2 linked regions of the Macaca mulatta genome follow. Each later gene encodes a partner of the first gene's protein in a complex. Links are inferred from orthologs where the notes say so. Each region holds a gene or a part of one and is shown on either strand. Other genes may lie near its edges.

Region 1 (4,526 bases):
AGGCTGGTTGTTGATGGGGTCGGTACCATTCTCTGCAATGTACTTCTCAATGAGCCGCCGCTCATAAACATGATTAGAGACAGGGGACACACATGGGTGCTCCGGCACTTCATTAGAGACTGTAGAGAAAAGGCCGGCAGTGAGCTTGGAGTGAAGGCAATCTTGAGCCTAGAGGATTCCTCATCTGCTATTAGCCCCAACAAGACTAGGCATCCTCACAATCAACTAGCAAAAAGCAAGACATCTGACCCTAAGCCAGTTCTGTACTGGCCCCAGAATGCTTTCCAGCTGTGGAACTAGCTTTTCCTTTAGTCTCCTGACAATCAGATAGTCAACAAATAATTATTAACAACTACTATGTGCCAAGCACCTAGAGAACAGCAGTCCATTATCGCCACCTAATATCTGAACAATGATTGTGTACTCTATGAATACAGTTTACTCCATGACATGGAGACACACATGAAGCCATTCAAATCCCTTCCATCCATCTTAGTCTATAGCTCCAGAGGGATTATCAAAGAAATCATAAAGTCTGAGAATATAGGAATAACAAACTCAGTTTCTCCTATTCTCTCACAAAACAAAATACTTCTGTGACCTCAGATGTGACCATCCGGGTGTCCTCCAATTCAATTCTGACACCAGGTACCTGGAGATAGTGTCAGATCACACGGGTTGAGGTCTCAGTCCCACCAGACTCCCCCACCCCTTCAGATGCCAATCGCAAGCTCCAGGTTGTTTGACCTGTTCTTCTGATCTACCAGCTGTAAATCAGGGTTCCCATGACCCCCTTTTTGGGTTCAATTAATTTTCAACAGTGACTCACAGAATTGTGGGAAACACTTATGTTGACCAGTTTATTATAAAGGATATTACAAAGGGTATAGATGAAGAGGTGCATAGGATGAGGTATGGGAGAAGGAGTACAGAGCTTCCCATGCCCTCCCTGGGCACCCCACCCTCCAGGAACGCCCACATGTTCTGCTATACAGAAGCTCTTTGAATCCTGCCCTTTTGTATTTTTATGAAAACTTCATTACAAAGGCATGATTCAATAAATCACTGGTCACTAGTGACAACTTCAGCCCCTCTCGTTCCCCAGGTAAGTGGGGGGTAGGACTGAAAATCCCAACTTTCTAATACCCTTTAGTCTTTCTAGGTGACCAGTCCCCATCCTGAAGCTATTGACGTCTGCCAGCTACCAGTCAACTGATTAGGATACAGGCAGACACTTATCACCTGGAAGATTCCAAGGAGCAAAGTGGCAATCATTACAATAAAAATATTTACATGGCACATGTCTATGTGCCAAGCACAATTCTAGGCATACAGTACAGTAATTCATGTTCACAACAACCCGCAATAGAGGTATCATTTACACTCTTGCCTGCATAGACTGTGCGCCCCTTGAGGATAAGGATTACAGCTGGTCTCTCACTTCCAGTACAATGCAGATGCCCCCGGGGCACTCGGTAAACATCTAACGAATGAGTGAACCCTGCCAGGAAAGATAGTGCTGGGGAACGTAAAAGAGAGCTTTCCCAAGACTGGAAGGAAACAATGAATATGAAGGTACTTTGCGAGCTGTAATTTCTTCAATGTGAGGGATTCCTTTTCCATCATTTCCCTTCCTTCTTCCCCCTCTCTGGATCAACGTACAGGTTCTGAGAAGAGACGGAGGTGAATAGCAAAAGGGAGGGGAAACGAGTAATCTGATGAAACAACGAAAAGGGAAAGGAAAACGTATGTACGTCATGATAAAATATCAAAGGGAAAGATAGTGGAAGGTATGGAAAAAGCAAGGATTCAGGCTCCAAACTCCGTGTCACCTAACTACGTCACCCAGCTCTGCCATTGACTAGCTACGCATTCTTAGATAAGCCCCGCTCTTCCTGAGCCTTGCCTCCTCATTTGCAACACCAGGATCTTTTCTCCTTTAGGGAATTCTTGTGAGGATAAAATGAGATCCTAGACTTGGAAGCGCGTTGTAAACCAATAAGGGCTTTATAAATGTGCGCTGTTTTTAATTAGTCATACACTGTAAGGCTGGGAGCCATATACCTAGCTGCCAGCCTTGCCTACCTCTAACTCATCATGTGACCTTTACAAATTGCAAAAGCTGCGACTATCCGAGCAAGGCCTCACAAAATATCCAGTGCAATGCTCTCAATTTTGCAGATGGGGAAACCGAGGCACAGAGCCTTAAGCCAATTCACAAAGCCAACAGGAGGCGGACCCTGGACAAGACCTCGGGTTTCCTGACTCTTACATCAAGGCTGTTTCCCCTGCACCAGCTCCCTCTGTCCAGGCCTGTTTCCACTCGGTAGAATGAGGCGACCTGCCTCAGTAATGCCTGCGACAATAAACCTCCGGCACTATGTAAACTGCGGAGCACTGCGCAAATGCACCCCGCTCCGAGGGGAGGGCTCCGGGGCTGACAGGCCGCCGCTCTGCCTCTGGAGCGCCCCATTCCCGCCTCCACCCCGGCCCCGGCCCCGGCGCCGCAGTGGCCCGCACACGCTCCCGCGCCGCTCTCCGGCCTCCTGCGACCCGCGCTCGGCCGCAGGCAACACTCACTGGAGCAGATTAGGGACATGGCGCCGTTGCCGCGCTCCCAGGCGCCACACGCCGGACTCCGGGACTGGCTTCTGAGCCTCCGCGAGCCACTTCCGGTCCCCCGCTGCTGCCGGGACTGCTCAGCTGCGAGCTGGGAGCCGCCAGTCGAGCGATGCTCGCGTAGCGCTTCACGTGGGAATGGGGACAGCCGCGCGCCACTGCCTCCAGCACCTAACGGAAATAGACCTTTCCCAGAATGCAGCCGGGCAGGAAAGGGCCCGCCACGAACACTCGGTTATTTCCGGATTGACTCGGCTCGTTCCGTAAAGCGCCCGGGGATTGGCGGGGGCGTCGGAAGAGAGGAGACTCGAAACTACATTTCCCATGATGCAGTGAGAACTTAAAACCAAAGCAATTGGACAGCACTTGTTTTGACAACTGTGCGGCACTGTGTCACGGGACCCTGGTCTTTGAAACCTTGGTGTGCGCGAGAATTTCCCAATTTCCCATTGTTAAAATGCAGATTCCTCGGATCTGCGTAGACAGACTGCGCCCCACGCTATTCTAAGTCAGGTGTTTCTCGGGCCACCCTTTAAGAGACACTGCTGGATGGCCTGGTGTTAAAAATACAGAGGCAGATGGGTACAGGAACTAAGAAAACGGCTAAGACAGCGTTTTGGTCCTGACTACTACCGTTTCGCTCTGTGATTTGGGGCAATTCACATTGGCTTCCCTGCCCTTTCTTCTTTGTCAAAAGACAAAATCACAACAAATTTAGTTTAAAGTTTTTTGTTTGTTTTTGTTTTTTGGTTTTGTTTTGTTTTTGTTTTTGTTTTTAAGAGACGGACTCTGGCAATGTTGCCCAGGCTGGAACGCAGTGGCTATTCACAGGTGCAATCGTAGCAATCATGGCTATCACAGGTGCATCCTGGAACTCCTGGGCTCAAGTGATCCTTCTGCCTCAGCCTCCAGAGTAGCTCTGGGACTTAGGGTGCAATTCTATAAAATTGGGCAGCGCCTTACACTATAAAATCTAATGGTTGTTCCAATGAGCTGAACAGGGGAGCTTGGTTTTTTAGACAGAAAAGGACTGAGGAAAACAGAAACAGAACAAAAATGGGATTGGTCATTTGGTAATCTCAAAATTACTTTTCTTGTAAAGGTTAAAGTGGAGGGTACTTCTTTATCATGCCATGTAAAACTTGCCTGTTTGGGAATTTAGCTCTCCCCGCCAACACACATGCACACACACACTCTCTCTCAGAAGGTCATAAAGATCTTAGTTTCAGCTCATTGGGGTGGAACTTCGGCAGGACTCTTTTTAGCTTGGTCTGTTAGGCCTAGCGCAAGAGCTCAGTCCAAACCAGTGGCCTCTTATCAATTTATTTTGTATTTTCTGTTTCTCTTCCAGCTCAGATAGTGTATGATTCTTTGTGGATATCTGTAAGATAAGATACTCTCAGGAATCATGCAAAAGACATGTGGTGTGGACTATAAGGTATCAAGACAAACGGGCAGGATGAACAGGATGTGTGAGTGAGAGGGACTTTGACAGGTGGGCAGTATTCAGAGGAGAAGGAGAAGGAAAGGCATTCCAGAAGGAGAAACAATGTAAGCAAAAGCTTGGAGAGAAAAATAAAAGTTACAGGTACAAAAGGTAGTATGGCATAGTGGCCAAGAGCATGGACTCTGAAGTCAGACTGTGTGCTCAAATCCTAGCACCACCCAGGTGATTAACTGTATGAACTTCTCTATGCCTTAGTTTCCTCATCTGTAAAACAGAGGGAGTGATGACAGGGGTAGAACTAACTCGCTGAACTCTTATGAGGAGTTAATATGCAAAAGGGCATTTCATCTCTCTCTTGCACCAACAAAGTAGCTTGCCACTTGTTCCTTGCTTCCAGCCTGGCCTCCTCCTCCTAATCTACTTTCCACAGAGCAGCCAGTGATCCGCTTTGAATGAAATA
Region 2 (3,812 bases), on another chromosome or scaffold:
TCACTGGAGGTCAACAGTTCAAAGCTACAGTAAGCCATGATCTCACCACTGCACTCCAGCCTGGGAGACAGAGCAAGATCCTGTCTCTTAAAAAAACAAAACAAACAATCCAGTTAATATATAAGCCAAAGATTTGAAGAGATAGTTCTCCAAAGAACATATATAAATGGCCAACAAGCACATGAAAAGATGTTCAACATCATTAGTCAGTAGGGAATAAAAATAAAAACCACAATGAGATACCATTTCACACCTGTGGAGATGTGTGCCAGGCGCGGTGGCTCACGCCTGTAATCCCAACACTATGGGAGGCCAAGGCAGGCAAATCACGAGGTCAGAAGTTTGAGACCAGCCTGGCCAACATGGTGAAACCTTGTCTCTACTAAAAATACAAAAAATTGGCTGGGTGTGGTGGCAGACGCCTGTAATTCCAGCTACACGGGAGGCTAAGGCACGAGAATCCCTTGAACCCGGGAGGCAGAGGTTGCAGTGAGCCAATATCGCACCACCATACTCCAGCCCAGGCAACAGTGCGAGACTGTCTCAAAAAAAAAAAAAAGAGAAGATGTGGAAAAACTGAAGCACTCATACATTGCTGGTAGAAATGTAAAATGGTCCAGCCACTATGGAAAATAGTTTGGCATTTCCTCAAAAAGTTAAATATAGAGTTACCATATGACTAAGCATTTCCACTCCTAGGCATATATATCCAAAAGAATTGAAAACAGGGATTTAAACATATACTTATATGTGGATATTCACACAGGCATTATTTACAATAGTCAAAAGATGAAAACAATGTGCAAGTGCCCATCAACAAATGAATAAACAAGATATTTATCCAAATATGATGGAATATTATTCAGCCACAAAAAGGAATGAGGCACTGACATATGGTACAAGGATGAACCTTGAAACCATTATGCTATGCAAAATAAGCAAGATGCGAAAAAGGACAGCTATTGTTATGATTCCACTTACATGGAAAATCTAGAATAGGTCAATTCATAGACAAAGATTAGCGGTTATCAGAAGGTAAGGGGGGGAGAAAATGGGGAGTTATTATTTAATAGGTATCTTTCATAAGTGGTTTTGTTTAGGGTGATTCAAAAATTTCAAACAGAGGAATTACCGCTAACAAACGGTACACTTTAAAATGGCTAAAACAGCCAAAAATAAACTTATAAAGCGGGGAGGAAGAGACAACAGCAACAAAATTTCTGAAGGTAGAAAACAAATGAATCCCAAATGATATAGCAGACCCAAGAAAGCTGAATCTTAAGCTGGTAAAAGCCAAGAAGCAACTCAATTTGCACTCCAAAAGCTCAGAGGAAAGAGTGCAGGTAATCCTGGAGACAGGAAGTTTGGCTGAAAGCCCGTTTAAGAAAGTGGTTAATCTTTGGGATCCTCTCCCTGACTCTGAAGCTGGGGGCTACCCCTTCCCCACCTGGTAGCCAACTGGGGGTCTAGTCTTTGGTAGGTTAAAGCAGGGGGTCTCTGGACTAGGACATCCTACACATAGTGAAGGCTGAGGTGACATAATGACAAACGGAGACTATGTGAAAGTTTATATACTGAACGTTGATGCATTCAGCCTCACCCTCATCTCCCCTTAACAAGATGCAGACACCTGGATGCAAAGCCCCCAGCAGGAGAATCTGGGAGAAAATCAGGAACGATTACATAGAAAACTATGCAAAAACAAGGCAACTATCAATTCCAGGCAAAGCAAAATGCTGTGCATGATAGTTATCACATGATGCTTACATTGTTAAAATAACTTAGGACCTAACCAAAACTACGGTACCTATACAGGGAAGATGAGGGGGCAGGGGATTTTAAAAAACTAATTATTTGTCCTCTGAAGTAGAAAATCAGAAGATAATGTTTAAAATGGAAAACAGGAAGTAGAAATATAAACCTGTTATCTATCAACATGGAAATAAAAATCAAGACCTAAGAGTTGAAATCGGCTCCGAGCAGCAGCAAATGGTGTCGGCAGCAGGGCATAGGGACAGCACTGGGGGACGACTGTTCTTTCAAAACAAGCTTTGTGAAACTGAATTGACTGTTTCTATGTCTAGACAATAAAATTTAGATTAAAAAGAGAATAAACAGAAGTCAATATTTAATAAGTTACAAAGAATACTCAATAAAAGCACTAGTTACTTCTAGAATTCAGGATGATGTAGAGAGGGGAAAACGAATTTTCAATTTATTGTCTTAAATATTATTGGAATATATGTGTATGGTATTCTTTAAAAAAAAAGAATACATTATTTACTTGTATTTTTAAGAAAAGATTATTAAAAAGTAGTAAGCCAGCACTTACAAAGCTTCAAAAACACCTGCTCTGACCCATCTGTTACTAGATCCCAGGATCTGAGATGCCTCAAATCAACTTAAGTCAGAAGCAATATCAAGGACACAAGAAGTGAAGCGGCAAGAACCTGGGAAAGGCTCACTGCTCAGCCACCAGCGTCCCGCGGTTCTGACCACAGCATCCCGCTCACCTGCTGTCATGGGCACGACGTCGGAACGCAGGAGCATCTGGATGCGGCCGGCCGGCTTGTTTCCAATCTTGATGTCCATGTACACCTGAGGATTTGACCGAGCCTTTTTAGCAGCGGGCTCTCCCTAGATGCAGAAGAAATTGCTAGTTAGAGAGCTCCTTCACCCCCTAAGTAGGAGTGCGGGTATTCTACACACCCACCCGGAACACAATTCCAGTGAGTAGGCTGGAGCAAGTGCTGACGGGGAAGGCCTTGGTCCCTGACAGGGCTGCAGGAGGCAGGAGCCATGGTCGTAGCACCCAGCTGGATGCCCAGGGACAGGAGGTCTCAGCACTGCCTGAGGCCCATACATGGGTGTGTTATCTCATCATGCTCGCCCTCAGATGCATCTGCTTCCTCCTCTTGCTTCAGTCACAGAACAGCACTTTTCTGGTCCATGATCCACAACTCTCAATATCTTCAAATGCCAGTTCCAGCCCACCCACTGTCCTCTAGTTAGGCAGATCCATCCAAGTACCACCACCTCCTCCCTCTATGCTTGGCCCTGCACATACGCTGGCTGGCTACATGGAAGCAAGGGGGCAGCCCTCTTGCTCAGGCCTAAGTGCTCAGAAGACAGTGGAGAATGTTGGGCCTTGCTTTGTGCTCCAAGTAGATAAGACTAAGCAGAGGATACAGGATGATCCAGGGGGACTCCACTGACTGTGATGGCCACTTTATGAGTTCTGCTTTGCATCAAAATTTCTGGTGTGGGTCAATGTGTGGATGAATGGTGGCAAATTAGCCAAGATTGAGAATACAGGAAGACAGGATTAGAGAAGCGGGGGAATCCATTTTAGGCAAACTTAAGCTGCCTGAGACTTACAGGCAGAAATATCTGAAGCTCAGGACTAGAAAGAGACCATGAAGTTCAACAGCATAAGAGAGACTGCATAAAATTAGAGACTGACTGCTACTGTTTCAGCTGAGAGAAAAGAGAGAAACCATGAGCCAAGAAAGAAATACAGAAGAATGACAACATTCACAACGTATCCAGAGGAGGGGAAGCCCAGAAAGCAACTGTCAGAGACCTATGGTGAGAATCAGGAGGAAGTGCCCTGGCAGGTTCTCTTAGGGCTGGAGAACTCAGAACCCATGTATAGGTTGAAGGAAGGTACCACTACCCTATCCTGTCTCCCCTCCATTAGCACAGGAATAGAAGACCATGAGCCTCGTGGCAAACTCTTCAGTGACGGAGGGGGACTCATTAGGAGGGGTGAAGAGGAGCACCTCAGCTTCCTCCCTGTCAGCTGACAATCA

What was found.
Region 2: PRPF19 (region 1) and PPIE share a complex: the UniProt entries of both Homo sapiens proteins name them as parts of the XAB2 complex. The link is inferred for Macaca mulatta from reciprocal best matches to the Homo sapiens genes PRPF19 and PPIE.

Annotation. Positions count from the first base shown.
Region 1 is NC_133419.1:13,165,621-13,170,146, reverse strand, and holds the start of PRPF19 (pre-mRNA-processing factor 19), read right to left. Parts: upstream 2,801-4,526; 5' UTR 2,600-2,800; coding exon 2,581-2,599; intron 1,668-2,580; exon of another isoform or gene 1,580-1,667; intron 120-1,579; coding exon 1-119. UniProt on the Homo sapiens protein: Ubiquitin-protein ligase which is a core component of several complexes mainly involved pre-mRNA splicing and DNA repair. Required for pre-mRNA splicing as component of the spliceosome.
Region 2 is NC_133406.1:201,035,533-201,039,344, forward strand, and holds part of PPIE (peptidyl-prolyl cis-trans isomerase E), read right to left. Parts: intron 2,638-3,812; coding exon 2,514-2,637; intron 1-2,513. UniProt on the Homo sapiens protein: Involved in pre-mRNA splicing as component of the spliceosome. Combines RNA-binding and PPIase activities.